Yarrowia lipolytica: one gene and its partners. Each later gene encodes a partner of the first gene's protein in a complex. Links are inferred from orthologs where the notes say so. Each region holds a gene or a part of one and is shown on either strand. Other genes may lie near its edges. The genes, in order: YALI1_E25859g, YALI1_F31725g, YALI1_C25307g and YALI1_E00533g.

Region 1 (7,914 bases):
TGAGGCTGTGGTTACCGAGCCGGGTTGTACCATCACTTTTTATTGCATATCCTGTAATAATCAGAAAGATGGTGCAAGAACCAAAAACAGCCGTATATTCGTATGTACTCGTTCTTGTTCTATCTGTCCTGTCACACGTCAGCGGAAACTAGCCAACTAGTGGCTTATAGACGTGTTTTGAGAGCCGTACTATACAGAATCGTATCTCTGTCTCTGTTGTTTACGACTCTAGAAACCAGAAATGGTTTCAGAGTGGTCTTCAGAGTGGTCACACACAACCACTTATGCCCGAACTGCATCCCATCGCATGTTTCAGATCAGGCCGAGACGGTTTAAATCGGGTTTAAATCACCCCAGAGCGTTTGAATTCGATCTTGAGGGGATAACGACCCACCAACTAACGACATACAAGTGCTACTGGACGAGGTTGAGTACATTTACTGTATACAGTACCAGTGTTAAGTACCGTACGGTACTTGTAGTACTGTCAGAGTTAGAGGCAACAATATTTACTGTTTTGGTGTGCAGTACATACGAGTGTACTACTGGAATCGACTGAGATGGGGGGGGGATGTAGAGAGTCATCGTTGGGGTATCCGTACAGTATACTTGTACCACTGTGCAGGTGTAGATCTGTCAAATGAAAGGTGATTAAAGACTTCTCCATATCAAATCCCTTCTTTCTTTTCTTCGGAAGCCCTATCTTTCCGCAACTCCAGTTTCACCTTGTTGCTACAGTAAATAAACGCTATCCTTGACTTTCTTTCAACTAAATTAGGTGCAATGCTTACCCAAGTTTGTTAGCCGTCTACACCACAGCATCGGTCACAACTCCACCAGTAGACTAGATATACAAAATCAAAACACATATCCGCACTCCACGTAATCACTAAACCTCAAAACCTGCCCTACCTTTTCAACAACTCCCTAACCTGCCGACCCTCACATGCAACCCCGCCATATTACTCAGCTTATCACGCACCACCCACAAGTACACTCTATTTCAGCATGCGCAAAAAACGAGTGATCGGAACCAAGGTGGAGCCGGTGAAGGAGCCCAAGGTGGTGCAAACAAGCGCCGCTCCCACTCCGCCACCCCCGCCGACCCCGCCGGTCGTCTCCACGGCGTCCCCAGGCCCCGAATCACACTCAGCCACTTCGCTGACATGTCCGATTTGCGAGGAGACAATGTTGACGCTGATGCAACTGAATCGGCACATTGACGACGTACACGGTGATGGCAAGGTAAAGGGCAAGACACGGGCGTCCAGCGAGAAACCACACACGAAACCGCGACCCACCGACGAAATGGTGACCAGACGGCACTGGAAGCACCCCGGACCGGGCCAAACATGCCACTATCCGGACTGCAAACGCAAGCTGGGAGCCAGGAACGGCTCAAGGCACTGCCGACATTGTGGAAACATCTTCTGCCACGGCCACAGTCGCTACAGAATGAAGTTGAGCCGAGATGCTCACCACCAACCAAAGGGCGGTATCTGGTGTTGGGTGTGCAAGACTTGCTACACGGGCAGAGAAGGGTACAATGACACGACAGGTACTGAAAGAGATCTGACGCAAGAGTTCAAGAAAAAACGCCAGGCGAAAATCGACATCCAGGAGCTGTCCGTCAATAAGCTGGAAAACAGACTGAGACGACTTGCGGAGGAAAGCATAGAGAACGAGAGCTCGGGACCCTGGTGGAAACCCAAGGCGGCTGTCACAGCCTCAGTACCATGGCAGGAAGACTCAACACAGCCCAATTGTCCGGAATGCCAGGTCAAATTCACCTTTCTGATCCGCCCTCATCATTGCAGGGTGTGCGGAAAGGTGGTGTGTGGACAGACATCCACACAATGTTCTCTTCCTGTTGGTGTGAACATTTTAATCAACAGTCTCGATATGAAAGAGGAGTTCAGCGACACCATTCCAACAGATTGCGAACCCATACGGATCTGCATGACTTGCAAGAATACAGTCTTTGGTAGACGTAACTTTCAGCGGGATGTCAACTCCGATCCCAGCGAGCTGCTTAAGCTGTACAACACCATGACCCATCTGACCACTTCCATCGAAAACATGATGCCTCGGTTCCAAAAGGAGCTTGAGGAGACGATTGCGTCCAAAAAGATGGCCGGTATGCATCCCAAGGACATTTTGGCAGCGTCCAAGCTGCGTAAGCGTCTTCTCGATACCTTTTCGCAGCTAGATTCGGCTGCTAGAAGAGTAGGAGCACTGGAGGGACTGTCTCCTACAGAAGAGCGAATACAGCAACAGATATACACAGCTGCGGTGTCATTTCTACAAGAGAAGATGCTGCCCTTGAAAACGCTTCCCAAGGTGCTGGGTAGTGAAGCTACAGCCCCCGAGCCAGCTAAACCCCGTCCTCCTGCCAACTACAAGGCACTTCAGCAACAGCTGGTGGTCATGGAGGAACAGAGGTTTATGGTGGAGAACATGATGCTGGAGGCCAAGCAGAGGCGAAAGTACGACGAACTGGGGCCTTTAGAGATGTCTGTGAAGGATCTCGATAAAGAGATTGAAATTCTGAGGAAGAGGCTAGGAGATGAAGCATTTGTTTAATCTCAGTTTAGAGCAGCACCACGAAGGAATATTTGTACTCATAGAAAGTGCTAGCGACCCTATGGCATGATACTGTATGTATCAGAACAGTAATGAATAATGAATGATGACAATTATGTATATTACTTGTGGCGGATTCGGTGACTGTAGATAATTGTACAAGATACAACTATACTTGAACATCACATACGAGTGCGGAACATTTCAGAACGTGAAAATGTTCTGTGATTCTAGATCAAGTCTGTAATTACTCCATACTCTATCCAACATACATTAGCTATACTTGTCCTTCTAAGACCGATCGAAGAGCCCATCATCATCATCGTAGTCGTCTCCTCCGCTGACGGACCAATCGTCCGAGTCGCCCATTTCGCTGTCATCGTCATCATCGTCATCTTCGTCATGGTCGTCAGTGTATTCGTCGGACTCCATCAAACCCTCCAAGGACAGCTGTAGCATGGTTTCGTTCTTGGCCACCTTGCCAGCCTCCACCTTGTATCCTCCTTCAACATTGCAGCCTGTGAGTTTGGCCTTGGTACCGACTGTGGTCTTAGTTCCGACCAGACAGTTCTCCAGAGTAACGTCATCGGCAATGAAAGCGCCGTCAAAGATGACACAGCCGTTGATTCGACATCGTTTGCCGATGGTGCAGTTGTTTCCAACCACAGATCGCTTTATACTGGTTCGCTCGCCCAGCTGGGTCTCTTCGCCGACCAGAGAGTCGACACCAACAGTGGCAGCTCCCTTAACAGCTGGAGCGGGCTTCTGGGCAGTGGCGTTGGCCTTGGCTCTTGCCTTCAGAATCACTCGGTTCATTTCCATGTATGCAGACAGGTTGTTTGCTCGTGCAAAGGTATTGGAGTCCAGAACGCACAGAGACACAGACTTGAGCGGCTTCGCATGTGCCCACGACCGTCGGGCAATGTCTCGAACCACTCGGTCCCACTGTCGGCCTTTGGCCAGAATGGTGTGTGCCTCCTCCTGTTCTTGTCTGACAGGCGACGAAGATCGGGTGTCGGGATCTTCGTCTGTGGAATCCTCCTCAGGGGCAGCCTGAGTCTCGGTGATGACTCTACACACGTCGGCAGTGCAGAAGTAGACGGACGCATTGAGCAGCTGTGTGGAGACCAAAGACTTAGGGAAGTGCCACAGCATGGATCGGCGGATGGGCATGGTCTTCTTGTTCTCAATGTAGTCACGCGAATACGAGTCCAGCAGCCGCGGGGTTCGCGAGTCCAGCGATGAGTGCACCGTCACGTCCTTGAGCAATGACTTCTTGTCCACGTTCTCCAGGGTATTGGGGTAGTAGAAGGCTGTGAGAAGCGAGTCCGAGTCTCGGCTTCGGTAGGTGTCGACCAGCGAGCTGGCGGGAATGTCTGTGATAAAATCGCAGCAAACCACAATGAAATCAGAGGGTTCCCCTCGAGTCAGCTCCAGAATGAAGTCTCCAGACTTCGCATCGGTCTTGGAACAGATAGTCACGTTGGAAGCCACAACTGAGGTGGAGTGCTCAGCCTTGAAAGAGTCCACGTAGGCGGAAATCTCCGCCTCGTCAGCTGTAGAACAGCACACAAACACCTTGGGGTTGGGGATGGTCTCACACCATTTGAGGGTGTAGTCGATCACAGGCACGTTGGCCATGGGAAGAAGGGCCTTGGGCACTCCAGACGCTCTCACGGACGAGAGAGGTGCCATGTTTTTGCCCTGGCCGCACAGAATGAACACTTTGAAGTCGGCTCCCATTGTAGCAGAGGAGATTTAGCACAGAGTGGTGGTGGTGTGTGCTTTATGTGATCTTTTATGTGCTTCTTTTCAATGCTAATAAATTTCACTGCACATGGAGCTTGCATCGGAGTTTATTTGACGGGGATGGCGGTGTCTGTAACAAGATGTGGAGATATCCTATCGATAAGATAATGATGGAAGCAGATTGTCTGAGAAATTACAAGAAGAATGCACTTTTCAGATTATATGTGGGATCTATATTGGTAGAGTTGGATAGACCTATATTCAAAGTCATTCTGAAGTAAAATGAAAGATAGTTCAACTGTTGGGTGAAGTAATGTGACAATTTGGTTAAGTTACTTATACGCTTATGTAATCAATAATTAGATGTACACCTCTTTCTCCTCAATGGGGTTTCTCACTTTATTTATGGATTTGTCATTGTGTCTATATTACAGCACATCAACTACGGGTACCTCTACTAGATCTGTGGTTGCATAACCACCAAGAGCGAATGGGTCCACCCATACCCATCCAGACTCTGTTACCTCACGTAATCCTGTGGAAGGTGTCAGAATACGAGGTTTTAGAGTAGTTGTGGAGTAATGGGGATATTGAGAGCAATAAGTGAGGAATATAAAAGCGATTGATGATCATTTATTCCCCGATATTCTGTCTATATTTGTCATTACTGTACTCTCACCTTCACTCACCTCGCCACCATACGCCACTCTTCTACCAAACACTAATATTGGGAGGTGCATCACCACTTCACATATTAGAACCTCAACGCTCCAGTTACTACATCAGTACAACACACCACAACACACACAACATGGAAAACGACCCGCTGCTCGCAGCTCTCAACCAGGAGGCGCCCGAGGTGGCTGCCACACCCACAGATCCCGAGCGGGAAAAGGCGATCGAGTCGTTCAAGAGAAAACTCAAGGAGCATCGAGAGTACGAGGTCAAGCTCAAGGACTTGCGACTGGGCATCAGAGACCTCGAGCGCAAATTCGACAAGACCGAGGACGACATCAAGGCGCTACAGTCGGTAGGCCAGCTGATTGGCGAGGTTCTTAAGCAGCTGGATGAGGAGCGGTTCATCGTCAAAGCCTCCAACGGCCCCCGATACATTGTGGGCTGTCGGTCCAGCATCAAGAAGGAGAAGCTGCTGCAGGGTGTGCGTGTGTCTCTGGATATGACCACTCTGACTATCATGCGAATTCTTCCCCGAGAGGTCGATCCTCTTGTCTACAACATGACCACGTTTGAGCCTGGAGAGCTGACCTTCTCCGGTATCGGTGGCCTCAACGAGCAGATCCGTGAACTCAGAGAGGTCATTGAGCTGCCTCTGAAGAACCCCGAGCTGTTTTTGCGAGTCGGAATCAAGCCTCCCAAGGGTGTGCTTCTGTACGGCCCTCCCGGAACAGGAAAGACCCTGCTGGCCAAGGCCGTGGCCGCCACTATTGGCGCAAACTTCATCTTCTCGCCCGCCTCAGCTATCGTCGACAAGTACATTGGAGAGTCTGCCCGTCTGATTCGAGAAATGTTCGGATACGCCAAGGAACACGAGCCCTGTATCATCTTCATGGACGAGGTGGACGCCATTGGAGGACGTCGATTTTCCGAGGGAACCTCCTCCGACCGAGAAATCCAGCGAACGCTCATGGAGCTGCTGAACCAGATGGATGGTTTCGACTATCTCGGAAAGACCAAGGTCATCATGGCCACCAACCGGCCCGATACTCTGGACCCCGCCCTGCTGCGAGCAGGCCGTCTGGACCGAAAGATCGAGATCCCACTGCCCAACGAGGCCGGCCGTCTGGAGGTGTTTAAGATCCACGCTGCTGGCGTTCAGAAGCAGGGCGAAATCGATTACGAGGCCCTGGTCAAGATGAGCGACGGTTTCAACGGAGCAGATATCCGAAACGTGGTCACCGAGGCTGGCTTCTTTGCCATCCGAGACGATCGGGACTACATTGTTCAGAACGATCTGCTCAAGGCCTGCAGAAAGGTGTCCGAGAACAAGAAGCTGGAGGGTAAGCTCGAGTACGAGAAGTTGTAGTAGACTAGTTAAGCATTTAATCGCAAGTGAGAGTGTAGTTTGCCTGTAGTGCCAAAGCACTATTATGTTTCAGCTGTGGCATATGATGTATACTGATAATGAGTTTATCACGATGTTGCCATGTTCAGCTACGTTGTCAACTATTACACTCCATCGAGATCGTACTGAGAGAAAACGACCTGGTTGCTACTTGTATCATGAGCATGCTTTCGTTATAATGTCATCAATTTCCATATGAATGTCCTTCGTTATCTATGGCCACTTGTCTCTTAAGAGATCATCTCCATCACCCTATAATCATCATCCTCCACCTCCTCTGGAATACCGTGAATCGTGGCTTTGTGGAAATCCTCATCCAGTCTTCTCTTGGCCTTTGCAAACTTGTTCCCAAAGTTCTCTCCATCCACCACAATGTCCCCCTTGATGAGTTTCTCCTGTGAGACCATCCAGGCGTCAAGACTTGGGACTTTCAGATCCGGGATCGTTCTGAATGGCACAAAAAAGCCAGTCCTGAACGAGTTGAAGTGTGTGCGGTTCTTGAGCCGGGGAGAAGACAGATCTGTCGTCATAACATGGACATGGACATGATTCATGCTGGGCACCGAGTGGATGCCTGACTGGATCTTCACGTCCTTGGAGTATCCCTTTGTACGAATGAACTCGACAGCAACCATTTTCTCAACTTTTTCCACCATGGCACGAGTTTTTTCGTACAGGTTGTCGTCTTCAAACGCCTTTAGAGGATGGGTATCGGGCTTGACAGCCTTGGGTAACACCAGGTAATGGATATGTGATTTCGGGAACGCATCTTTGATCACGACAAAGTCTGGTGTGTCGAGAGTCACATCGTTGGGGAATTTTTCAGGACTCTTTATGTACTGACCTAGTGCGTATTTCCATGACATGTTTGAGAGTGATGCCGTATGTATCAGACTGTGTGAGACGTACTTTTATACACTCCAACGCATTGGGAGCAGGAGCAGGAGGTAGAAAAAGACGATGGCGAAGAACAATCAAAACGACGCAATGCGAGTATTTCGAGACAGTTTTTGAGATGGATCGACAAAGTATGGCATTGTGATCTCATTACTTAGTTTTACTTACCATTGCTTCCCCCTGGTAGTGGAATTAGCAGGATCTTTCTAGCAGGTAAAATGCTTACAAAAGCTAGGATCTTACTTGATCGTTTACTTGACCTAATACTTGGCTCTACCTCTACCATTTAAGAACCAAACAAAAAGAAAGAAGAGAAAAATCGAATAACATGGCGGGCCTCCCATCCCCAGAACTAAACGCCTGTCTACTCCACGACATTTGCCGTTACTGAACCACCATCTCATCAGACAACATTGCTCCACCTACAAGTAGCCCACTTTTCAGTCAAGTGCGGCTACAGTAACAGTCTTCCGTAGGAGTCTGGAAGAGCCATGAGTGAAAAAAAAAAAAAAAAAAAAAAAAAAGGGCTTTAATTGATGATACAATGTGTATTTGTACCACACAAAGGACCTATCATACTGGTCACGTGACAGTTGTATATT
Region 2 (8,095 bases), on another chromosome or scaffold:
CATACCTCGCTTGATCTCGTCTCGCTTGATACCTCGGAGCAGGATACCGGCATTGTCACCAGCCATGGCGGAGTCGAGATCCTTCTTGAACATCTCAATACCAGTAACGACGGCCTTGACGGGCTTCTTGTTGTAGCCAACAAGCTCGATTTCCTCACCCTTCTTCAGGTTTCCTCGCTCGACTCGACCAGTAACGACGGTTCCTCGGCCAGAGATGGAGTAAATCTCCTCAACGGGCATCAGGAAGGGCTTCTCAAGATCACGGTTAGGGGTAGGGATGTGCTCATCAACGGCCTCCATAAGGGAAACAATGGCGTCTTCACCAATGTCCTTCTGCTTGCCCTCAAGAGCGCACAGAGCAGAGCCCATGATGACGGGAGTGTTGTCACCATCAAATCCGTACTGGGTCAGCAGATCTCGCATCTCCATGTCAACGAGCTCCAGAATCTCCTTATCCTCAATCTGATCAACCTTGTTAACGAAAACAACCAGGTTCTGAACACCAACCTGTCGAGCAAGCAGCAGATGCTCTCGGGTCTGGGGCTTAGAACCGTCTCCAGCAGCAACAACAATGATAGCACCGTCCATCTGGGCGGCACCGGTGATCATGTTCTTGATGTAATCGGCGTGACCGGGACAGTCAACGTGGGCGTAGTGTCGGTTAGCAGTCTCGTACTCAACGTGGGAGGTAGAAATGGTGATACCTCGAGCTCGCTCCTCGGGAGCTCGGTCGATAGAATTGTAGTCCAGGAACTTGGCGCCGCCCTTCTCGGCAAGCACCTTGGTGATAGCGGCGGTCAGAGTGGTCTTTCCGTGGTCAACGTGGCCAATGGTTCCAATGTTCACGTGGGGCTTGGATCGGTCAAAGGCAGCGTAACCTCGGGCAAAGAGGACCTTGTTGCTGGCAACGGAGGTGGCCACTCGCTGGGCGGCGGGTCGCACACTAGCAAGCGTTTTGAAGAACATTTCGCGTTGTGGGGTGTGTAATCAGAGAAGGAAGCACAGCTTGATTTTGGGACAACCACTTAAAACTTTTGCAGAACCCCCTTACCCTACTTGTAACTTTAATGGGCAATAGCGGAATTAAGACAAAGGTATTGTAGGGGTATGATAGCGGAGCGAATGATGTGAATACCAATCGCTGGGGGGCGTTCAATTCGGCACCAATTCCTCATTCTACTCCTTCAAAAATTATTTTTTCGCCACTTTCCACTCCTTTGAACATCCCTTCGTTTTCATGCAATAACTTCACATGGTTGCAAGCAAGTTTTCCACTCTGGAAGTGCTTGAAATGAGCATCTCTAGAAGTTGCCTGATTGACGGTTTGGGTTTGAAGGTGCAAGTTGGTGTTTGTCAATCTGGTAGTATTGTTGTGGCCGTCATTGAGTCTCTATATTGTGTAAATAGATGTCACACCACCAACCATCCAATGAGAGGCTGGAACTTCGATGTTGCTAGGTTTTGTCATACGAGCTTTTACTCGGGGCAAAGTAACTTTCAGACTTGAGTCGTTAACGATATGGCCAGTGTTGAAGGCGGAGAATTGAGGGACCGAGGGAGGATCGGAGGAGTGTTTATTGTTTCATTTGGTGATATTGTCAGATGTATCAGCTTTTAAGCAAATTTAAAACAATATTGGTGGATAGATAGTGTTCATGTTGAGTCTTAACTAATGGGACAGTTTAGTTGATACTGTTTATTGGAAAAAGGAGATAAACCTCGAGAGATGAGATGTTCCACTGTATAAGCTACTGTAATTTAGAGCAAAGGGGAACAAATGATCTCACATGGCCGCACTTGTGTATTTGGCATTGATTCAGAAGCCGCCTGACACTGTAAGGAACTGAATGTGACCATGCTCGAATATTGGAACACTGGAGTTGTGACACAGCTGCTCGCAAGCTGCCCATGTTGGCATGTCACATACAAGCACATGTAGTGATCCAGCCCTCCATCATTCCTACTCTCAGCTCTCCTTCCATATCCTTCCATTCACTATATACATTTACTTGAAGAGGAACTTCTTTCGCTTGGCGGCTGCCTTCTTGACGGAGGCCTCGAGATCGCCAACATCCAGACGCTTGTGGCCTCGGATGTAGTACAGACGCTCGGCGGTGTACTTCTGGGTGGCCCGTCGGATAATCTTGACAGACTCGACGGTTGGAGAGAAGATCTTGAATCGTCGGTCGATTCCGATCTTGGTGATCTTAGATCGCAGCAGCAGGTTAGAGGACAGTCCTCGGAAGTCCACCACCATGGTGAGGCCCGTGAACAGAGAGCCATCAGTGGTCTTGATCTGCACAATGTCTCCGGGCTTGATTCGGTCAGCGGATTTGGGGTTCATCAGCTCCATCTTGACGCCCTGGGGATCAAACTGCTTCATCAGCTTGTCAGTGACGTGTGTAAGAGCGTTCTCGGTACCCAGACGTCGGGGGTGTCGCTCGTAGATGTTGACGGTCTTTGGCTCTCGCTTGATGGTCTTGAATGTGGCCATCTGCATCACGGGCAGACGCACCGCTGCCAGCGATGGACGGATCAGTCGAGCCAGCATTTTTGTGCAAGTGTGGTGATGCTGTATACTGACTGTTGGTGTGCTCTAGGGCCTATTTTGGTTAAATTTTCAGTCGCGGTTAGGGTTTGCGGTTTGTAATGCTGGGAAGATGAGTCCGAGACGATGAGAAAACAAAGGGAGAGGGGCTATAAGAATGAATGAGCCGATGCGTCCGTGGTGTTCCTCTACCATATGGCTCGAATACTGTAGTAATTTTCGTCTTTCTACAATGAGTTTGCCTTTGTTGAATCGTTTTGTAATGTTTTCTTGTTTTTCTACAGTTTAGGGCTCTCAAGACGGTACAGAAGAGAAGATCGTGACAAACAAATTGATACCGAGAATGTTTTTGTGAAGATGGCGTCTTGGTGCTGTTATTCTACCCATATTATTTTCTCACAACCAGTTACCAACCGCTCTAATTCAGTCTCATCCAGTCCAAAGTGCTTATTCTGGATCGGTACATACATACAAGTAATGTAGTGCTTGGTCGAGTTTTTCCTCACTCGTACCATGCACCATAATCTGAACCATAATATAATTTGTATCACCAACATCCATCCAGAGCACAACACCACGGTACACAAAACCCTCGCCTCGCCACCACCACCGACATGCCCACTATATTCATCTCCACCCCCAGTGGTCTGAGAGATATCCAGAAACACGTTTTGGCTGATGATGATGTCCACGTCGCTATCGAAAGCGCTCTCAAAGAACTGCCCCCTAACGCCACAGCCAAGGGATATCTCAGCACCAGAGGAGGCCAGAGTCTTGAGAGCCTGTCTGCTGCAGCTGGTGACATCTACTTGCGCTGGAATATGCGTCTTTGCGGTGGAAAGGGTGGTTTCGGGTCCATGCTGCGAGCCCAGGGAGGACGTATGGCCCGAAAGAAGAATAGAAAGAAGACGGAGACGGAGAACGACTCTTTTCGAACGCTGGACGGCCGCCGAATGAAGAGTATCCGGCAGGCCAAGGAGCTTGGAGAGTACCTCAGCACAGCCGACGAGATCAAGAAGAAGGAGGCCGAAGAGAAGAAACAGAAGCTGCTCAACATTCTGCAGAAGGAAAAGACCAGTGGGTCCAGTCGAAAGAGCAAGTTTGAAAACACACGACTGCTGGAAGACCATGAAGATGCCGTTCAGAAGATGCGAAAGGACGCGGAGATGGCTGCTCTGGCTGTATCCGAAATTGATACTGCCTTGTCATCTTCTGCAGGATCTTCCAGCTCGAATGTGAAGGCCAAGGGTGGAGATTTCTTTGGTATGGACTTCAGCGAATCCGAAAGTGAGTCTGAGTCCGACACCGAGTCTATATGAGCCGATAAAGACTCTCTGGGCCTCTACCCGTTAACAATTATTTATAAAGAGATTATTTATTGACAAGCAGATGCCAGCAGCGAAGGAGTAGGGTTCCTGGGGATGGTACTGTATGACATCGAAGCATACATGATAGATTGTACAAAATGTTCTCCACTTTTGGAAGTGCTCCTGGCTTCCATAGAACCGCCGTATGTACAGATATCTCTGTGTGTGAAACAACACGCACGCTATTCAAAACGCCAAGGGTAGTATAACAGCACAGATATCCTAATCGATCCAATGTTTTCGTTCGATCATTTGTGTCCGAGAATTTTCTATACAACAGATTCCTCATTTATTGCACTTTCTTGACTCCATAGATTATCACTACTGTACCGTGCATGACACGTGACTCTCATCAAAATTTAGGTCCAATATGCAAAGTTTGAGAAAACTCCAGCATCAGTTCCATCACCAAAAAATGTCCAGTCAGAACCGAGGCGACCGAGAAATTGATATTTTCGTTGAGCAGTTCATCAGGTGAGTGTTTGAGGGCTTCTTGCTGGAAAAAGAGGGCTCGATGCCTAAACTCGGGGCTGTTGCGAGACCTCGTGACATGGATCACGACATCCTCACCAAGCCGAAACTAACATAGCCAACTGAAACGTCGACAGTTGTCGGGATCACACGCAGTTGCTCTGGCCACGGCACAACTGCTTCTGCGGTTTGTTTCTGCCGCAAGATGGAATCACATTGACTCTCTAGTCAAGGACATTCGTGCCCTGGGAGTGCGTCTGGTGCAGACCGCCCCCAAGGAGATTGCGTGTCGAAATATCGTATCGCGAGTGCTGACACTGATTCGGGAGGAGCAGCACGGCCACAAGGCCGAAAACGGCGGGCTTAGCGGCAGCATGCTGGGTCTTTTGGAGAAGAACGACAAGAAGGAGGAGGTGCTGGACAAGGCTGCTTTGCGACAGGCGAACCGAGATATCCGGCCCTACATCATCGAGGGTATTCAGGATCTGATTGACGAGGTCGCCAACATCGAGGAGAACATTGCCAAAATGTCTGTCGACGAGATCCACGACAACCAGATCATTCTGACCCCGACCCCTGCATCCGAAACCGTGCTGCTGTTTCTGCTCAAGGCCGCACGTAAGCGAAACTTCACCGTTCTGGTCACCGAGGGCTTCCCCAACCAGATTGATGCAGCACACAACATGGTGGAGAAACTGACAAAGGCCGGAGTCGAGGCCATCATCATCCCCGATGCTGCCGTCTACGCCGTCATGTCTAAGGTCGGACGAGTCATCATGGGCACTTCTACCGTGCTGGCCAATGGAGGATGTCTTTCATCAGCTGGATCTGCTCTCGTTTGCGCCACAGCAACACAGCATTCCACCCCCGTGGTGGTACTTACAGCCATCTACAAGCTGTCCCCCGTGTACCCCTTCGATGTGCCCAGCATGATTGAGATTGGCTCTTCGGCACAGGTGGCCGACTACTCCGACTCGGAGATTGTGGAGGGCTTTCAAGTGTTCAACCCTCTTGCCGATTACGTGCCCCCGGAGGACATCCAGATCTACAACACAAACATTGGCGAGTTCAGCCCTGCCTTTATATATAGAATTGTGCTGGATCACTACAGTGATGCGGGTAACTTGTGAATGGAGTGAGGTGGACTGGTGTAGATAGACGGTTGAATAGCGAATAAAATGGTGCTAATTAAAACTGCAGATTGGTGTGATACGACACCTCACTAGACTGAGAGAAGGAATGAGAACCAGTGGTTTTGGCGCAGTCTACAAGTTTTACATTAGGGGATGTTACATTGATTGGAATGGGAAGGGACTTACCCTGAACAGTATGTACAATGTACAGTGCGCTTCAGAGGTTCGTGTGCAAAAATAATAAAACGAAGACGTATGCCGCCATACCTACTGTACATACTGTACCTTGATAGTGTGTAATAAACTGCTTAGAGATTGTTACTATGAAGAATATGAGTACTTGTACTGATTTGAACTTACATACAAACAGTGAGTAGGAGTTCCTTGGTATAATCCCTAATCATGTACAAGTATCTACTTGTAGTCAGCTTATGACTTTTTATGAATGCAGGTCTTGTCGAATTTGTTGTTCTACTGTAGCGCAGTTACAGGAACCACAGGATGTAGGCGCTTGAGCGCATATGTCTCTTTGTAAGCTAAGTATAGCTACTTTCCATACAAATGCAGTGTTAAATTATATATATATATATATATATATACATTCATCATCCTTTCCCTCTTCCTACAACCCAAAATGCTCCACGTGTGTGTACACGGCCTGGTTACCTGTACCTCTCAGAACTGCCCTGTCGTCGGTGATGTCAACAACAGTGTTGGAAACAATTCTCGTAAACCGTCTAGGGCCACAAATGCACACTCCAGACTCACCCTGAGCCATAGAAATGACCGGCGAAATGAGCCGGTAGAAGGACTTGTCAGATCCAAGCTTCTTTCGTCGGTTATACTGATAAGGCTGGGGTCGTCCCTGCTTGAGACGCAGGTACCCGGCCTCAACGAAGTCGTAGTATACCGGAGAAAGCGTTGATGATTGAGCAAGTGCAGTCTGGGCTTGTGTAAGTTCGTTTTTCGGCTGGGGCTCGATACCAGCTGCACAGCAACATTCGCCCCGAGAAACAGCCACCTCGTCACAACAACAACTAGAGCAGTTAGTGACAGCCCCACAGCAGTCATCTTCACAAGTCGCGAAGATCTCGACAACAACATCGATTCCAGAGGCTGTATCGTAGAACGTTCGTGCGCATTCAAGCAGCTCAGTCAGCTGGGCGGCATACAGTTCCATGTCCTGGAACCGCTTTGTGATCCAGATGAACTTGAGACGTCGAGCAATGGTCTTGTGCTGGTTTCTAATAATGTCCACGGCGATAGGGAGGCAGAAAGAAGCTCCGATACCGGCACAGACAAAAACAGAGGTGTCAAACTGCTTGAAATCACGAGTTTCGCCGTAGGGACCGTCCAGGTAGACTGGAAGGGTCATTTTCTCGTGTTCTGGGAGCTGAGAGGCCTTTTTGAGCAGCCGCTTAGTGAATCCCGCCTTTGAACGAATCACAAACTGCATATCGTCTCCGGGCAGTGTGGAAATTGTGAAAGGATGCTGTTCTAAAGGAGATACGTTAGGGAAACGGAGATACATGTGCTGTCCAGGGTACCATGAGAGTCCTGTGGGAATTGTGGCCACCACAGCTCCAGGCTCGACTCTCAGGGCTGTCTGATGAGGTTTGAGCCCTGCCTTATTGATGAACAGGTTCCAGACCAGTCTGAGCACTCTGTCAAGTCCAAAAAGAGCCAGAGGAGGGATTACGACATGGTATGCGTAATTGGGCGCGTGGATAACGACTGCTACCATGAATCCAATCATAGTAACAATGTGTTGGAACACAAAGAACTCGTAGCTCATGTTTCGGAAGGGCGCAAAAGAGGAAATGAAGATCCAGCAGAGAATTCCAAACGCTCCAAAGCCTTTCAGGGCAAACGTATTTGTCGACACCTGGTTCTGAATCTGGTGAGTGACTCCCCAGGTCTTGATAAAGTGGGCCAGGTGCAGAATGACGCACAGGAACAACACTCGGGCCGTCCATCGATGGTACAGGTTAAGCCTCTGAGCAGAAATGCCCGTGAGAATGGACACGAGGTTTCTTCTGGCTGCCAGAATGACGATAAGTGAGATCTGGGAAATAGACACCCAGCCGCATCGGTAGGCCACAGTTTCGTAGTTCATAGGGTTGAAAGGGTCGATTTTGGAGAAGAGCAGCAGCATTACAATCATCACGTAAAAGAGAATGATGAGAATGTCTCCTACTGGCGGGAACTCCACCGTGTAATTGACCCAAGGAATATCAAACCCTGGGATCTGTAATAGAGAGGCCTCACGAGCTGTAGATACGATAGCTCCAATGATCTTGGCTGGAACAGAGTCTGATCTGGGTGGCTTTTGTCGTTTCAAGTAGTACTTTTGTCGCAGTAACGAAAGCACGCGGAAAATGGTAATTACTGCCAAAATGGCACCAATGACCATCCAGTAAACTCTTCCCAGAAACCCTGGTCTTGGAGATCCGTCCGAGTTGTATGAGCCCTGTCCCTGGTTTTTGGCGGTGGCCAGAATGTCGTAGACCATGTTGTGAGTGACTTCGAGGGAGTTTGCTGAGAATAGGAACCTCCTGGAGCTGGTCGTAAGGACT
Region 3 (6,498 bases), on another chromosome or scaffold:
GGGCAAGACTCGAACAGTCTCGGAATCCTCCAAACACGTGAACGAAGACACATGGCTCTGGTACGCCACCGCAGGTGTGTAGTCAATGACTCGTAGGTTGATAGCCCGAGTGTGACGAGCATCAGAGACGTCTGTGAGTTTACAGAAACCGTCTGGCGACGAGGAAAACACCAAATGTGAGTCGACGGGGTAGCCACAGGCAATGGAGGCTACGTAGGTGGAGTGGATGGGCAGAAAGTACGACGGTATCAGTGCGGTTTCATCGTCTGTGTCTGAGATATCGAACTCGGCAATCTTTCCGTCTGTGTATCCGACCACAATGACTGTGGGTCCTCTCCAACACAAGCAGGTGGCTTTTGAGCTGGCCAACATAAATGTTCTGTAGGGAGCCTTGAGAGTCATGTGCACGGGTTCGTCGTTATTGTTGTAGGGCACTTCAAAAACACGCACAGAGCCGTCTTGGAAAACAGAGGCCAGTAGTCCTACACTGTCTCGAGCATCATCCTGGTTTCTGGGTTGGAAGGCCATTTCCGAAGCGAAGCCGAAATCAAACGTGAATACCTGGTTCAGTGATGGCTGTGGGCTAAACTTCCATATTTGAATCGTTCCAGGTCCAGTATTGCAGGCAAAGGCCTTGAACGTCGGGTCTGTGGATTCTGGCAGACCGGTGGTGGAGTCTGACAGAGAACTGTTGAGAGTGGAGACCGCCAGGTACTGGGCCACGGTGTGTCCGTAGGCCCAGGCGACAGACGAAACAGGAGCTCCAGCGTTAATTACCGAAGCTGGGTTAGGTGCATCCTGATCGCCTCCACTGGCTTTCCAGGAAGAGCTAGTCTTGGGGGCCAGAGTGGTCTCTTCACCGGTGCTATTCAAAAGAGACATTGAAGGACCAAGGGTGGTGAGATCATCGCCCTTTTCGGCAGTTCCAAACTGCTCAGCCACGTTGACTTTGAGGTCAGGAGGCGTCTCGAACGTCACATTGGGCGTCATGATATTCTTGCCCCACGCGTAGGTCACGTTACCCCAGGTTTGACGGATAGCATTACCCTTGACCCGCGAAGCCTCATCAAAGCCGTAGAACAGGTTGAACCGGTCTTTGAGAGCCACCTTTCGGTCCTCTCCATTCTCCTTGTTGGCAGCCGCCGCCTTTGTCGTCGGAATCTTTTTCACAGGCATTTTTCGCGGCGTGTTTTTGAGAGTCGGCTTGACGGCCTTGGTCTTGGATTTGCTGGACTTGCTGGGCACGTAGTCCACCTCCATCTCGTCACCGTAGTTGCCATCTTCCTCCTCAGCCTTGACCTCGTTCACATCCACGTCCATGTCGTCATCTTCCACGGTCGGTTCAATGCCGGGGTTGAAGTCCGAGTCCGAGTCGTCACCCGCAAAGTCGTCGCCCTCCATCACGTAGGAGGGCCGAGGACGCCTTGATCGTGTCATTGTGGGTTGCTGGTGGAAAAAAGTCGCGTTCCTGTGTTTTTTTCAGGTCCGTAATTTTCGAACGTTATTGCATATCTCGCATAAACCTTGGCTGGGTAGTGTGAGGATGCTGAGTACGAAATAGAATATATATCCTGGTGAATAGTACGTGTTTGTGAAGAAACCGTGTTTCAGTTGGCAGATAATGTCTCTCAAACAACCTCTTTGGTCTCTAATTTGGATCCAGTACCGAGAATATAGCGCACGAGTACACAGGTCCAACGTCGTAAAAAAGGAGTCATACGACCTATGATCCAGCTTGCAATGGCATCACAAGTACAGTATTGTACAGTATGTGCCGGTATATACTGAGATATCGATATACCCCATAGTAACACCTTGGTTTGCACTTTACAACGTCTAGCAAACAACAGAGATTGCTCACCCTTCCGATTCGTAACTCTTCACTGGAACCAAGGTTTCGTCACTGTACTGGCGCGTTTGTTGATACAAGTCTTCTACACACATCTACATTTCACACTCTCAATATCAAATATGTTACTATATACATTTATCGTCGTCGGTACTTGACAAACTCCTCCTTCTTGGAGTCCTCCAGGGCCTGGAACCGCTTGGTGGGGTTCTCGGACATCTCCTGCAGGTAGTTTCGGGGGGTGGCCTCGGGGACCTCCTGGGAGCCAACAACAGGCAGATCGCCCTTCTTGATCACCTCCCATCGGCCCGGCAGACGCCTGGAAGCTCGCTTGAAGGCCTCCTTGACAACCTGGTCGTGCATCTGGCCTCCAACCTCAAATACCACCTTTCCAGTGGGCCATCGGGTGGCCATGTTCTCGATATCTCCCTTACCCTTACCCATTCGGATATTGACACCCTTTCGAGTGACGGGGGTGGAGAGCAGAAACCGTCGGTAGAGCTGAGAGCCGGGAGCGGCCTTTCGAATCAGCTGAGCAATGGCTCCGTCAGCGGCCTTGAGCTGCTTGTCAAACAGCCGCACACCCTCAGAAACAAGACGCAGGCCCCACTGGCCAAACTCGACCGTGGAGCCTCGAGTGGATCCTCCGGTTCGGACAGTGATTCGGCCTCGCTGGGCCTTTCGTAGGTTCTTGAATCGAGGTGCATACTCGTGCTTGTGTCGAATGGAGCCCAGAGTGGGAACAGCAAAAGGAGACACGACAGTAGGGCGGGTAGCTGAGTTAGTACGGCCGTCAGAGGAGCACGGTATTGAGGGTGGTCGACTCGGATAGACCTGTTGGAATGACAGGGATTCCTTATTCCCTAGGTTCCTTAAGTTGTGCAGTCATTCGTGAACTTCCGATCCGAAATTTTTCACTCTCACCGTGTCGTTTGGCACGGTCGTATTGTCGCTGAGAATCGATCTGCTGATTGCATGGCTTCGCTGAATGCCTTCCAAGTCTCTTCCTTCCCCATTTCTAGCGTTACTCACCCCGTAGTCCGTTTACCAGTCGAGCCAGCATTTTGGTGATTGTGAAAAAATTAGCTCGTGTATTTGTTCAGATGGCTGATGAGTAAGCTGCACGAAGTTTATTCGACAGCAGGACATGCAGTACTTAGCCTTTAGTTGAACATGCTAAGTAACTCCCAACTGCTCAAGTACACCACACAAGGGCATCAGACAGGGGATGGGGACCGGAAAAAACATGAGCACTTGCTTAACATACAGTCATGTGACCTTAATATACCCCTCAACCACCACAAGCCCTTCCAACCCCTCTCTAACTCAGCGTATCAGTACATTCGTCGACGTTCGAACTGCCGGGTAACTGGGCCAATCTCATATCGTCACGTGATTCAGGATTCTGAAAATATTAATCCCAACCTAACCAAAAATTGCAGCATAGAGCAAATCGACCACTACAAGTAATCCAGCATGGCCAAATTCGACATCAAAGAGACATATCTGCGCTTTCTGCGGGACGACCCCGACATCACCATGCCTGTCGCGGCCATTGAGGCCCTGGTCCAGCTGCTCAGTGAGACCGAAACCAGCACATCAGCCGAGCTGATTCAGACTCTCAAGGAGGCGAGCGCGGAGCTCAAGACGTCTGTGGACAACTCTATGTCGCTTTCTGCAGGCTGTGATCTGTTTATGCGATTTGTGTTGCGAAATATCCGGGAATATGGCGACTGGGAGGCCTGCAAGGGCCATTTGGTAAAGAACGGAAGGCTGTTTGCCGAGCGAAGTAAGGCTGCTCGAAAGACCATTTCGGAAAAGGGTCTAGCATTTGTGCGGGATGACGATGTCATTCTGGTCCACTCTTTCTCGCGAACGGTACTGGCCCTTCTGGAACATGCTGCTAAGAACTTGGTGCGTTTCAGAGTGTTTGTCACAGAGGCTGCTCCTAGTGATCAGGGTAAGCGAATGGCCAAGGCATTGAGGGAGAGAGGCATTCCCGTGAGTCTAATTGTGGACAACGCCGTCGGATCTGTGATTGACGAGGTGTCCAAGGTGTTTTGTGGTGCCGAGGGAGTGGCGGAGTCTGGAGGAGTCATCAACCACGTCGGATCATATCAGATTGCCGTGCTAGCCAAGAACGCAAATAAGCCCTTCTACGTGGTCACCGAGAGTCACAAGTTTGTGCGAATCTTCCCTCTGGCCCAGGCCGATCTGCCAGACACCAAAAAGATGTTCCACTTCACTGTTGAGGAGCCCGAGGAGCAGAATGCCGACAAGGGTCTGTCGCCAGTCGTCGACTTTACGCCTCACGATTACATCACTGCACTTATCACAGATCTGGGAGTTCTCACTCCAAGTGGCGTTTCTGAGGAGCTGATTAAAATGTGGTATGAGTAAGACTGACGGGAGTGGCACAGTGCGTGGAGTATATAGATAATGGAAAGGTATGCAATGGTTCATTGGATAATGGAGGTGCGGTCAGGGGAATGATTACAACAAGATAATCATGTATAATTTATTCGTACACAATTGTACTTTTACAAGTGCCCTCACAACGGACGGACTAGCCAATTCTAGTCGACTTCTACTTATAGTCTGCGACTTCTTCAACGTCACCAGGGATTTTCGCGACATCTTCGACATGTTTAGGGATTCCAACAGCCTTGGCTTCCTTTTCCTTGAGAGCCACTTCCTCCTCCTCAATCTGCTCGGTGAACTTCTTCACTCGCTGATTCCACCAGTCGGACTTGCCCAGATGGTCGAGAGAGCTCTCGGCCTTGTCCTCCTCCTCCTCGGGCTGCACCAGCTTGATGGCAAACGTTCGGAAAGCGTCCTTGACGGTGTATTTGCCGCCTTCAACTAGATCCTTAGCCACCAGCTCTCGGGTTCGACCAAGAGACTCGATAGCAGATACTCGGTCGGCAGTCTCTTCGAGAAAATCATCAAACCCAGGCATGTCTGCAATTTCGTGAAAGGCCTGCATCATGGGAACAGAGTCGGCTCGTACTCGTGACAAGGAGTCAATGGTGAAAATGTTCAGGTTGTCGTAGACTTGAATGTAGTCGGGACGGGTCATGACCTGTCTGGCTCTCCATAGAGGCAACTCGGGCAGTTTGTGGTCGCTCAGATGCAAGGTGTTGTAGATAGACACGTCCTTGAGCCGTCGTCTATCCATCTCCACCAGTTCTCGCATCAGAAACATGGCGGAGGTGCTAAACTTACCACTTTCCATGACATCGTCATCCATATCTTCTCCAAGCAGACCACACTGGTTGAGAAACCAAGTCTTTTCTCGGTCAATCAGCTCCTGGCAAGCCTTGAGAATGTTCCTGTGTCCTGCGACATGAGCCAGATGTTGGGGTCTACCCCCAACAAGATCGTACACCCGGTTGGCTGTCTCCACGTCGCAAGAGATACCTCGAGCTCTCAGTCGAGCAAGCTGGAAAGCCTGAACGGACTGAGCTCGATCCAAATCCTTGATAGTGACAACCTCCAGGCGAGTTCCCAGCTTCTTGAGTCGTTCGTACAGCCAGTAGTCATCCGAGTTGAAAATCATAGTCACCAGACCAGCTCCAGAAAGAGCCTCGGCCTTCTGCTGGAGCAGCTCGACCAAATTGTTTCCGTCAGCATCGTCTCGAATCAGATGGGCATTGTTGATCACCATAACCAGAGGTCGGCCAGTCTTTCGGACCTTGCCCACAGCAACCTCCTCGAGTTTGTTAAAGGCTCGCTCAATGTCCAGCAGCGCGGTGGTATCACGGGGCCCCCGGATGGAAAACAGAGATCCAATGTAGTCTTCGTGGAATTCGAAATCCAGAGCCTTACCTAGTCGGATTCGAAAGATTTCTGGGTCAGCATGGGCATCAAGAATGGTACAGCACGAGCCAGAGCACTTTCGCATGGCCTCCAGAATCATGCTGGTCTTTCCGGTTCCCTTTTCTCCAATCAGTAGGTAGTATCGTCCGCTGATTCGTCCGGCAATGATGTCATCCAGCAGCTTCTGATGACTTCTCTCCACCCAGCCCTCCATCTCGCTTGTTCGTCGATGCATGGTCAATTCGAACGCCGGGTCTCCGTCCTCGAACGCCTCGTCCATCTTCTTGACCACATGGCGCTTATAGTAGTAGTGGTACGTCATTCCGGCGATGCCCAGAATGGCGATACTGGCGAACGTGATACCTGCGGATTCGGCCATTTTCGTGAGGATCTCCTTGGTGCGTTCCCAGCCGCTTCGCGACTGTTTGTTCTCCTCGCCGTCGCCTCCAATCTCGGGGATCTGCAGCATACTGGATACCCTGGAGCTGTGGAAGGATCGGATTCGGCCATGGTTGCTGATTCGCAGTCGTGCAGCAGTGGAGCTCGAGACCCTTGGCTGTCTGGCCACGTGGCGACTCAGGGCTCGTGGCAACATGATGCTGGATGAGTTGGTGGTTTGCTGCAGAGGTAGGATCACACTGGCAGCACACGCTCGATGGAAACGACGCCGAGGAGAGTTGCGTCAGTATTTGCAGCTCATATGCGCTTCAGCCGTGGCAGTGCACGTCAAGCAGGTTTTCGGTGGGTCCACGGGGGTATGGAGACCAAGTTAGACCCTTGATATTATGTAATATACCTGTAAATCGGTTGAGCGTCTTGATTTCGTATTT
Region 4 (8,136 bases), about 2.5 Mb from region 1:
AGGTTGCACAGATCTCGCACCTCCATGGAGGCCCACTCAGCAGAAGGGACCAGCATGTAGTATCGGGAAATGAACTCCTCGTAGGACCATCGGGATGGGAAGCCGGCACACGAGATTCGAATGGTCTCAAGCACACCACAGGCTCGCAGCTGAGAAAGCACGATGGGGGCAGAGAACGACCAGGCGGCCTTCTCCTCATTGGGCTTGATGCACCGAATGTAGTGCACGTTGGTGGAGTTGATGGTGGTCATCAGGTCAATGAGTGAGCCCTTGAAAATTCGGCCTAAAGTAGGCTTCTTGGGGGCTCGCAGGCCAGGCTTGGTAGGAGCAGCAGGGGCATTCTCAGCAGCAATGTTGGCAGCCACATCCAGAATGTTCTTGAGGAAATCATTCTTGGTGGCCATGAGAACCTCGAGGTGCTCATCAGGCACAGCGTCACGGTTCTTCTCCACAAAGCCTTCGGCCTCATAGTTGACGTCCTGGGCGTAGTGGGCAACCACAAACGACGTGTTGCCGAACCGCGGCTTCTTGAAATGCTTGTTCTGCGGATTATCTAGCTGCTGGTACAGCTTGGTGCACCAGCCATCGTCGCTACCGGCGGGGAGACGCGACTCCTCGTCAAGCAGAGAGAGGATACCCAGCTTTGCCTCGATCAGGTCGATACAAGGCTGGTTGTCGGAAAAGTCAATGAAGGTCCAGTTGATTTCCTCCTGCACGTACTCGTCCTGCTCGAGCTTGAACACGTGCTGGTTGAATTCCTGTTGCAGCTTTTCGTTGGCGTAGTTGATGCAGAACTGTTCAAACGAGTTCTTCTTGAAGTGCTCGAAACCAAAAATATCCAGTACACCAATGAAGGTCTCGACCTGTTCCTGCACTTTGGGGTCGCACAGGCCGCCATTGAGCTCGCTGACCAGCCAGTCGAACAGTGACGTGTAAATGTGCTTGGACACGGAGTCACGCACCACCAACGACTGCTTGTGAGTCTGGTTGGACACGATCTTGTCGGCTCGCGTCACAATCTGTTTCTTGGTGATCCATTTGGCAAACTGGACAGGGTCAATCTGCAGCAGCTCACAAGCCTTGATAAGAGAGGGCTCGTCGGATGACAGAACCGCGTCCTGACGGGTCTGGCCAATTTCAATGTTACCAATGTGCAGAATACCAGCCAGAATGTTCCACAGGCTCTCTTGCTCGGGTTTGGCGATGCCAATAGTCTCGAGAGACGCACCGGTCAGCTTGAATTCCTCGCTGTCGTCCACGCCTTCAATGGTATCATTACCTCCTTGGTTGAGGTATCGAAAGGCCGGAACACCTCCCTCGACACCTAGAGCCTTGGCAAGCTCGGGAGAGGCACCCTTGACCAGCTGGTAAAAGATGTGGTAGTTTCGCTCTGTGGCAGGCTGGAACACGAGACGAGATCGCTCCAGCAAGAAGGTTCGGATTCGAGCACCCACAATGTCCACGTCCTTGTTGAAGTTGATCTCCAGATATTTGCCGAACCGCGACGAGTTGTCGTTTCGGGTGGTCTTGGCGTTACCAAAGGCCTCCATGATGGGGTTGGTGGCGAGAATCTGCTCCTCGACGTGGGACAGTGAGTCACCTTGTGACACGTCGCGTTTTCGTGGTGCTAGCGGATCCTCCACTGTGGCAAAGTACCGCATAATGTACTTTGCAGACACGGTCTTTCCTGCTCCGGACTCTCCTGACACCACAATGGTCTGGTCCTTCTTGTCTCGCAGCATGCATCGGTAGGCGTCCTCGGCAATGGCGAACAGATGGGGCTCAAGCTCACCACGGGTCTTGCCGGCGTAGGCCTGGATAATGTCGGGGGTGTAGAGGTTGTCGACCCGCTGAAAAGGGTTGGTGGCAATAAGCACGATTCCCGAGTAGGTGTAAATGTTGAGCATCTGGTATCGGGTTCGGATCGCGTGCAGCACACTGGGCTCATTGAGATAGGACAGGGAAGTCAAGTCTTCGGTGGACTCCAGAATGGGGGGGTTTCGCAGGGGGAGCTGAGGGACCTCGGCTGACGACTTGAGCACAGATACGGAGGTCTCTACCGACTTTTCCTCGCCGTTCTCCAGTGTCAGGTTGATGGTCACCTTCTCACCATCCGTCTTCTGGTCGACCACCTCGGCACCCACCCATCCTTCTTTTTCGTCTCGGATCCAGCAGCGGCTGTGTTAGCAGTTGTGTAATTAGGGGTTTATCACGAGATTTTGACAGTCGTATGAAACGCCGAAAAAACGCGAAACCAGCTTTTTCGGCGTGGTATTGCCGGTTCATCCTCCCCTTCTCGTCATACTCACATTCCGGGCTCGTAACTGATGGCCATGAGCGCGTCGATCCGTGTGGATAGTGGTGTGGTGGTGTGGTGGTGTGGTGTTTGTGTGTTGAATTAATAAGCCTATTGCACGACGTGTGGACGGGGGAAAACACGTGTGGGCTTGTGTCGTAGGAAGAAGCGCAAAGGAATTTGAACCAAGTGTGGTCGGTAGCGTAGTTGCAAAATGTTACTCAAGATAGATAACACCCGATACTAAACACCCTTCTCCTGTTTGATGTGTTGGAAGGAAAGTCAAACTCTGTGTGCTAGTGCTAACCTGCAAGTAACCGTGCTCAGCGAAACACAAGACAGCAGCAGCAGCAGCAGCAGCAGCTGTCCAGGTGGCACCTAAGCGGGAGCTAATGGCGCCAAATCTAGCATGTTCATTCTAACTCCCCAATTCTGATAGGTGTTTGTTTCATGGAGCGACGCGGTAGGTCCGTTGTGGCAATCTTCAAAGAAATATCTCCAGTAAATAGCCGACTATTGACAATAAAAAAAAAAAATCAGTCACTACTCTGTGCAAACATACAATACAACTCAACTATGTCCGTGTAATTGTTTCTCGCTGGCACGTGTCATTATTATTATTTCCAGTACTTGTCCTCGTGGGCCCCCGTGATTCACCTCCCCCGTATGTACTCGTACCGGTACTACGTGTCCAAAATAATGCGCCCCTGCACACATTCCGAAAGAAGGGGTTGAAACACCTGTGACCGGTAAACGAAGCGAAATTGAAGTGAGAAATGAGTAAATAAAGGCCGCGCTGAAACGGGCGAAATTGAGGGAAATTAATGGGCCCAAAAGACTAGAACAATAGGGCCGACAAGTTGACAGCATACTACTTGTTTAATCGATAACACTCCCTCCTACCGCGTTCACAGCACCTGACGGGACCCCTGAGACTCCCGAAAAACACGCATTCTTGAGCTGCAGTACGCACCGTTAAAATGCGTATGGCTTAAGCTAAAAACAGGGGGCTCAGGGGCTCAACATGTGACATGGTGCCTCTGGTCGATCGCCGAAAACAGAGAAAAACACAGAGCCGTTCTGAGACGGCATGAACAATCATCTGAGACCGTACTGTTATTATTTTAGCCTGTCACCAAGGGCTGGCATGTGAAAAGCTAAACTGTTGCCGGGGTGACACCTTCTACACAACGCGACAGTCTCTAGCATTAGCCTTTTTAGGTCACGTGCCAAATAAACGAAAGAGGACACAAAGGTTAGGGGTCACCTTGGGACTGTTAATTAGTGCTTATTAATCGAAAGAATGAGGTGCTTATTAAGCATGGCCCACTACAGACAAATATGAAATGTCAATTCATGCATAAATTATCGTTGTTATCTAAAACCGTGTCTACTCCGTTCGCTGTTCGCTGAGAGCAGTCTTCTTCTTCTCCAGAACCTCCAAGGAGTGCTGATGAACGTTGTGAAGCACGAGTCCGAGGCCAGCCCAGGCCACACCGGAGAAAACGTATCCGAGAGGGTAGTAGCCGGCAGGCTTGAGTCGGATCTTGTTGGAAAGGAACTTGGTAGCGAATCCTGAGTTAGTATGTGATGTGTGCGAAGATATCTGATAGCATGATTGGTATCTGGTGTGCAGTCCATATCAGAACCGAATTGAAGACGATCTGAGATCACCGCTTGATTCATCATAAGCAATGCAGTTGATCCGTGCCAACAACCACTCCAATTCCAGTCAAGATTGGTCAAACATGTCTAGAACCCTTTGTGTCACTTGCAAGTCGATGGTTAAGACACAAAAACATGTCGTCGAAGCAGCGGAAATTGTCGGTGGACAATCTCGTCGCGCATTGCGATACTCACCAAGACCGGATGCACCGACTAGCGAAGTAAACAGAGCCATTTTTGCGGTATTGGTGTGTGCTCCAGAGATGACTTTGGTGATGCAATATGATTTTGGAGGTTGCAATTTGCGGTGCTGTGATTCGTTGGGAAAGCCGGGTAACTTTAAAATGATCTTGGTAGTTGTCAGTTCGAGTTGTGGTTGCAACATATTTAAACCCCCGAATGAAATCTGGAACCCTAATATATGCAAAAAAATCTAGTCTGATGACTATAACTGGAGATATCATCAAACCACCACAGCTCTCACGCCATGTCAGAACTTACACCCGCTCAGCTTAAGGCACAGAAGAAGGCCGCCAAGGCCGCCAAGCGTGCGGCTTCCAAGGAGGCATCGGGCCAGGCTCCTACTCGAGATCCACGAGAGGCCAAGAAGGAACAGCAACAGGCCGCAGCCAAGGAGGGAGGCTCATCTTCAAACACCGGAAACAACAGCAATAACACACAAGGCGGAAGCAATCAATCGTCCGCCTCTGCATCGTCCAAGGAGGATCGAACCCGGGCTTCCAGACCCGCTTTGTTTGGGCACCTTGAGAAGGCAGGAAAGGTGACTGCAGCGGATGCTGGCAAGGACGTGCATCCCGAGGTGATCACCTTGGCACTCCGGTACTCGTCGTATCAGATTGTGGGCTCTTCTGACCGAGCCCGAACTCTTCTGCAGGCCTTCCAGCGGGTTATTGCTGACTACGAGACTCCCGAGGGAACTACACTGTCTCGAAACCTCACTACACATCTTGGTCACCAGATTGATTTTGTCATTTCTGCACGACCGTTGTCTGTGTCCATGGGTAATGCCATTCGGTGGCTCAAGCAGGAAATTTCTGTGGTGAGCATTGACATGTCCGATCAGGCTGCCAAAGACATGCTGGTGGAGAAGATTGACGAGTACATCAAGGAGAAGATCGATGTGAGTGGATCCGTCATCGTGGAGAGCGCCGTCAACGACATTGCCGACGGTGACACCGTCCTCACTTTTGCACATTCCGAGGTGGTGGAGAACACCTTCATTGCTGCTCACCAGGCCGGTAAGCGGTTCAAGATCATTGTGGTCGACTCCCGACCTCTGCATGAGGGCCGAAAGCTGGCTCGAGATCTGTCTGCCCGGGGCATTGAGTGCATCTACATTCTGGTTTCGGCACTGGCTCATGTTCTGGACGACGTTTCTCGAGTCTTTCTGGGAGCCCATGCCATGCTTTCTAACGGCGCTCTGCTTTCGCGTGTCGGCTCTGCCCTCATCGCCACTGCTGCCAAGCGAAAGAACATCCCCGTGATCGTCCTATGCGAGTCCATGAAGTTCTCTGACCGAGTCCAGCTCGATTCTGTCACTCTCAACGAGCTGGCCTTCCCCGAAATGCTGGCAAACACCTACATCAGTGACAAGAAGAAGCTTCCTGAAGACAAGGCCAAGACCTCGCTCAAGTACCTCAATCTGTGCTACGATCTGACTCCTGCCGCAAATCTCACCAAGATTATCACCGAGCTGGGTCATCTGCCTCCCTCGGCCGTTCCCGTCATCATGCGAGAATACAAGTCCGCTTACACTATGTAGGGGAGGAGGTTAAGAGAGGTATTTGTAAGATAGAGGAACGACAAGGGGGGACTAAAATATAGACAATAAACAGTACGTTAATGGGGTTCGTGTGATATTGATGTATGTACAGTACATACTAAAGGTAGCATATGCAGTTTTTGCCAATGAGTCGTCGTGTCATGACGACACTCGCATAGACCTTTAGACGATTAACGACTTGTAATCCGTGTACAGGTATGTACGGCACCAGTATATATCTACGATATTGCAGCCGTGAGAGATTTATTTGACTTCATATCTGAACAGTTGTAGTTACTGACAGTGTTACTCCCTCGTACCAGTGCCGGTATGTAGTCTTATGAGTATGCACACACACCCGTGTTCGAGACCATGTATTAGCTAAAACAGTGTCTCGGATACACGAGATAAGAACAGTTGTATCACACACAAGACGGGCAAGAGTCGTCTTTACTCCTTAACTAATGCCCTTGTTCTGAAGTTTGAACATACTGTCCACCTACAGGCACGCCTTAGGCAAGAAAATCACTTACACTGTGTCGAATATGTACATTAAATAGAGATGCTAGATGAGGGTTTTGCTGGATCTGTGTTAGTATGTTGAAGATGTGTAGAAATATAGTTGTTTGAATGCAACGAGGAACTGCCTCAAGTCGTATATAAATGTCTGGTCGCTTCTAATAGCTCGAGGTGCTATTTCAGGTAACAGAGGAGGAATTCCGACGGCTTGGCGAAGACTAGAATCCAACATGTCCGTGTCTAGACTTGGGTTGCTTATTCAAGACGCCACTCAAGATTAGAGAATGATTGTCAAAAGAGCATCTTAAATAGAAAAGGATAGAATGAGCAAAGACTTCATTTTTTGTCCAAACGGGCACTTCTGCTCACAAAATAGCTCTCGCCTGTCCCAGTTAGCTCTCCAGCTTCGTTACTCTGTTCAAGAGCAACCATATCATACTCACTTCTCATTCAGCTTGACGCAAAAGGTTCGAATCAAACGGGGGTCAGCCTGGACAGCTCGCATGATTTCGCCCTGGGCTCCGGGAGAACAGTCGAACTTCATGTAGAAGTAGTCGCCGACCACGTAGCTCTTCTGCTGGGCCTTCATGATCTGGGGCAGGGGCTTGAATCGCCAGCACTCAATGAGGCGGACCACGCCTCTGTTGCCGATGATCATTCGGCCGATCTGGGTGACGGCCTGCTTGGCGGCCGCGTGTGCCGGAGTCACCGATGCGATTCCAACGAGTTCGTAGAGCATTTCGAGTCTGTTGTGTAGAGGGGTAGTTGGGATGCGATGACGTCGTGTGAGAGATGAAGGTTGAAAATGTTACTGGATGCTGCAACCTTATTTTGGCACTCTGAACATGGTCGGTCTGTCAGTACAATACGTGAGTAATTAAGAGCACTTTAATATCGAGCCGAAATAGGTAGGTCGGATATATGAACAATAAAGGAAATTTACCTGAGGGGTCTGGTTGCTCTCAAAGTGGATAAAATATATGACTGCGTTCATGTAAGCCAGATGCTGCTAACATTCATCTCTAATTACTGCTCAGGTAAAAGTCACGTGCATTTTTTGCGTTCGGAGCATGTACCAGTATCAAGTATGTACTGTACATACCTGGAAATGACCTGTGGGTGCAACATCTCGGACAAGTACCATACCGGCAGGTATTGTAGCTTGCTCTGAGAGAGTCGCTGTATGTAATATCACTGACTACAGTATTACGGGCAGATGGCGTTTTAACCTGTTTTAACCTGTTTTAACCTGTTTTAACCTACAGTAGGAAGAGCATTGATGGCCTGTCACATTTCTCGAGACCACAGTCCTGGTTAATGATGATTATTTGATGGGGTCTATTGATAAATGGTATCTTGCAAGAGCTATGAGTGCTTCTGGGATTGTTTCCATTTTTGTGCAGCTAACAGACATTAGTTAAATGATATTGATGATGTCCTGGCTTTCAAATTTTACCCAAGTAATCAGCCAACTAAGACACTTACCTAAGTGCCTGGAAAACGGTGATATCTCGAGATACTGTAATAGTACAAGTATTAGGAACGGCGCTGGAGAAAGAAAGAAAAAGTCTACCTCTCCTGTATATCATTTGAGAAGATATGGATTCTCGATCAACCGACACACGTCTGTACTTGTAGAATATCTGTCAACTATTTCTCAGCCACTCGACTACTCGTGTGTACATACTGTAGATGCCTGTTTGTAGCCAAATTTCGTACTGTCCCCTATTCAGACGGTCGCCTGAAAGCTGCTTCCATAGTATCCTCTGATGAAGCACCGAGCCTGCAAGTTGTGCACATAAGTACGCATCAGACCCATGTGCGGCTGAATCATTGGTTGTGTGGGGTGAATTGGACCGTGGTTCCAGTCTAG

The links.
Region 2: YALI1_E25859g (region 1) and YALI1_F31725g share a complex: the UniProt entries of both Saccharomyces cerevisiae proteins name them as parts of the translation initiation factor 2B (eIF2B) complex. The link is inferred for Yarrowia lipolytica from reciprocal best matches to the Saccharomyces cerevisiae genes GCD1 and GCD7.
Region 3: YALI1_E25859g (region 1) and YALI1_C25307g share a complex: the UniProt entries of both Saccharomyces cerevisiae proteins name them as parts of the translation initiation factor 2B (eIF2B) complex. The link is inferred for Yarrowia lipolytica from reciprocal best matches to the Saccharomyces cerevisiae genes GCD1 and GCN3.
Region 4: YALI1_E25859g (region 1) and YALI1_E00533g share a complex: the UniProt entries of both Saccharomyces cerevisiae proteins name them as parts of the translation initiation factor 2B (eIF2B) complex. The link is inferred for Yarrowia lipolytica from reciprocal best matches to the Saccharomyces cerevisiae genes GCD1 and GCD2.

Annotation. Positions count from the first base shown.
Region 1 is NC_090774.1:2,581,629-2,589,542, forward strand, and holds YALI1_E25859g (uncharacterized protein), read right to left. Parts: upstream 4,327-7,914; coding exon 2,875-4,326; downstream 1-2,874. Other genes in the region: YALI1_E25826g (uncharacterized protein), read left to right, coding at 1,009-2,583; YALI1_E25866g (uncharacterized protein), read left to right, coding at 4,958-6,376; YALI1_E25889g (uncharacterized protein), read right to left, coding at 6,646-7,281. UniProt on the Saccharomyces cerevisiae protein: Acts as a component of the translation initiation factor 2B (eIF2B) complex, which catalyzes the exchange of GDP for GTP on the eukaryotic initiation factor 2 (eIF2) complex gamma subunit.
Region 2 is NC_090775.1:3,168,933-3,177,027, reverse strand, and holds YALI1_F31725g (uncharacterized protein), read left to right. Parts: upstream 1-4,330; coding exon 4,331-4,389; intron 4,390-4,504; coding exon 4,505-5,516; downstream 5,517-8,095. Other genes in the region: YALI1_F31760g (uncharacterized protein), read right to left, coding at 1-966; YALI1_F31744g (mitochondrial 54S ribosomal protein bL19m), read right to left, coding at 2,006-2,551; YALI1_F31733g (uncharacterized protein), read right to left, coding at 2,923-3,678; YALI1_F31689g (uncharacterized protein), read right to left, coding at 6,142-8,031. UniProt on the Saccharomyces cerevisiae protein: Acts as a component of the translation initiation factor 2B (eIF2B) complex, which catalyzes the exchange of GDP for GTP on the eukaryotic initiation factor 2 (eIF2) complex gamma subunit.
Region 3 is NC_090772.1:2,527,390-2,533,887, forward strand, and holds YALI1_C25307g (uncharacterized protein), read left to right. Parts: upstream 1-3,325; coding exon 3,326-4,249; downstream 4,250-6,498. Other genes in the region: YALI1_C25288g (uncharacterized protein), read right to left, coding at 1-1,437; YALI1_C25301g (uncharacterized protein), read right to left, coding at 1,988-2,720, 2,774-2,826; YALI1_C25336g (uncharacterized protein), read right to left, coding at 4,437-6,263. UniProt on the Saccharomyces cerevisiae protein: Acts as a component of the translation initiation factor 2B (eIF2B) complex, which catalyzes the exchange of GDP for GTP on the eukaryotic initiation factor 2 (eIF2) complex gamma subunit.
Region 4 is NC_090774.1:48,863-56,998, forward strand, and holds YALI1_E00533g (uncharacterized protein), read left to right. Parts: upstream 1-4,448; coding exon 4,449-5,744; downstream 5,745-8,136. Other genes in the region: YALI1_E00510g (uncharacterized protein), read right to left, coding at 1-2,178, 2,310-2,335; YALI1_E00527g (uncharacterized protein), read right to left, coding at 3,687-3,871, 4,157-4,196; YALI1_E00551g (mitochondrial 37S ribosomal protein bS6m), read right to left, coding at 6,310-6,331, 6,707-7,002. UniProt on the Saccharomyces cerevisiae protein: Acts as a component of the translation initiation factor 2B (eIF2B) complex, which catalyzes the exchange of GDP for GTP on the eukaryotic initiation factor 2 (eIF2) complex gamma subunit.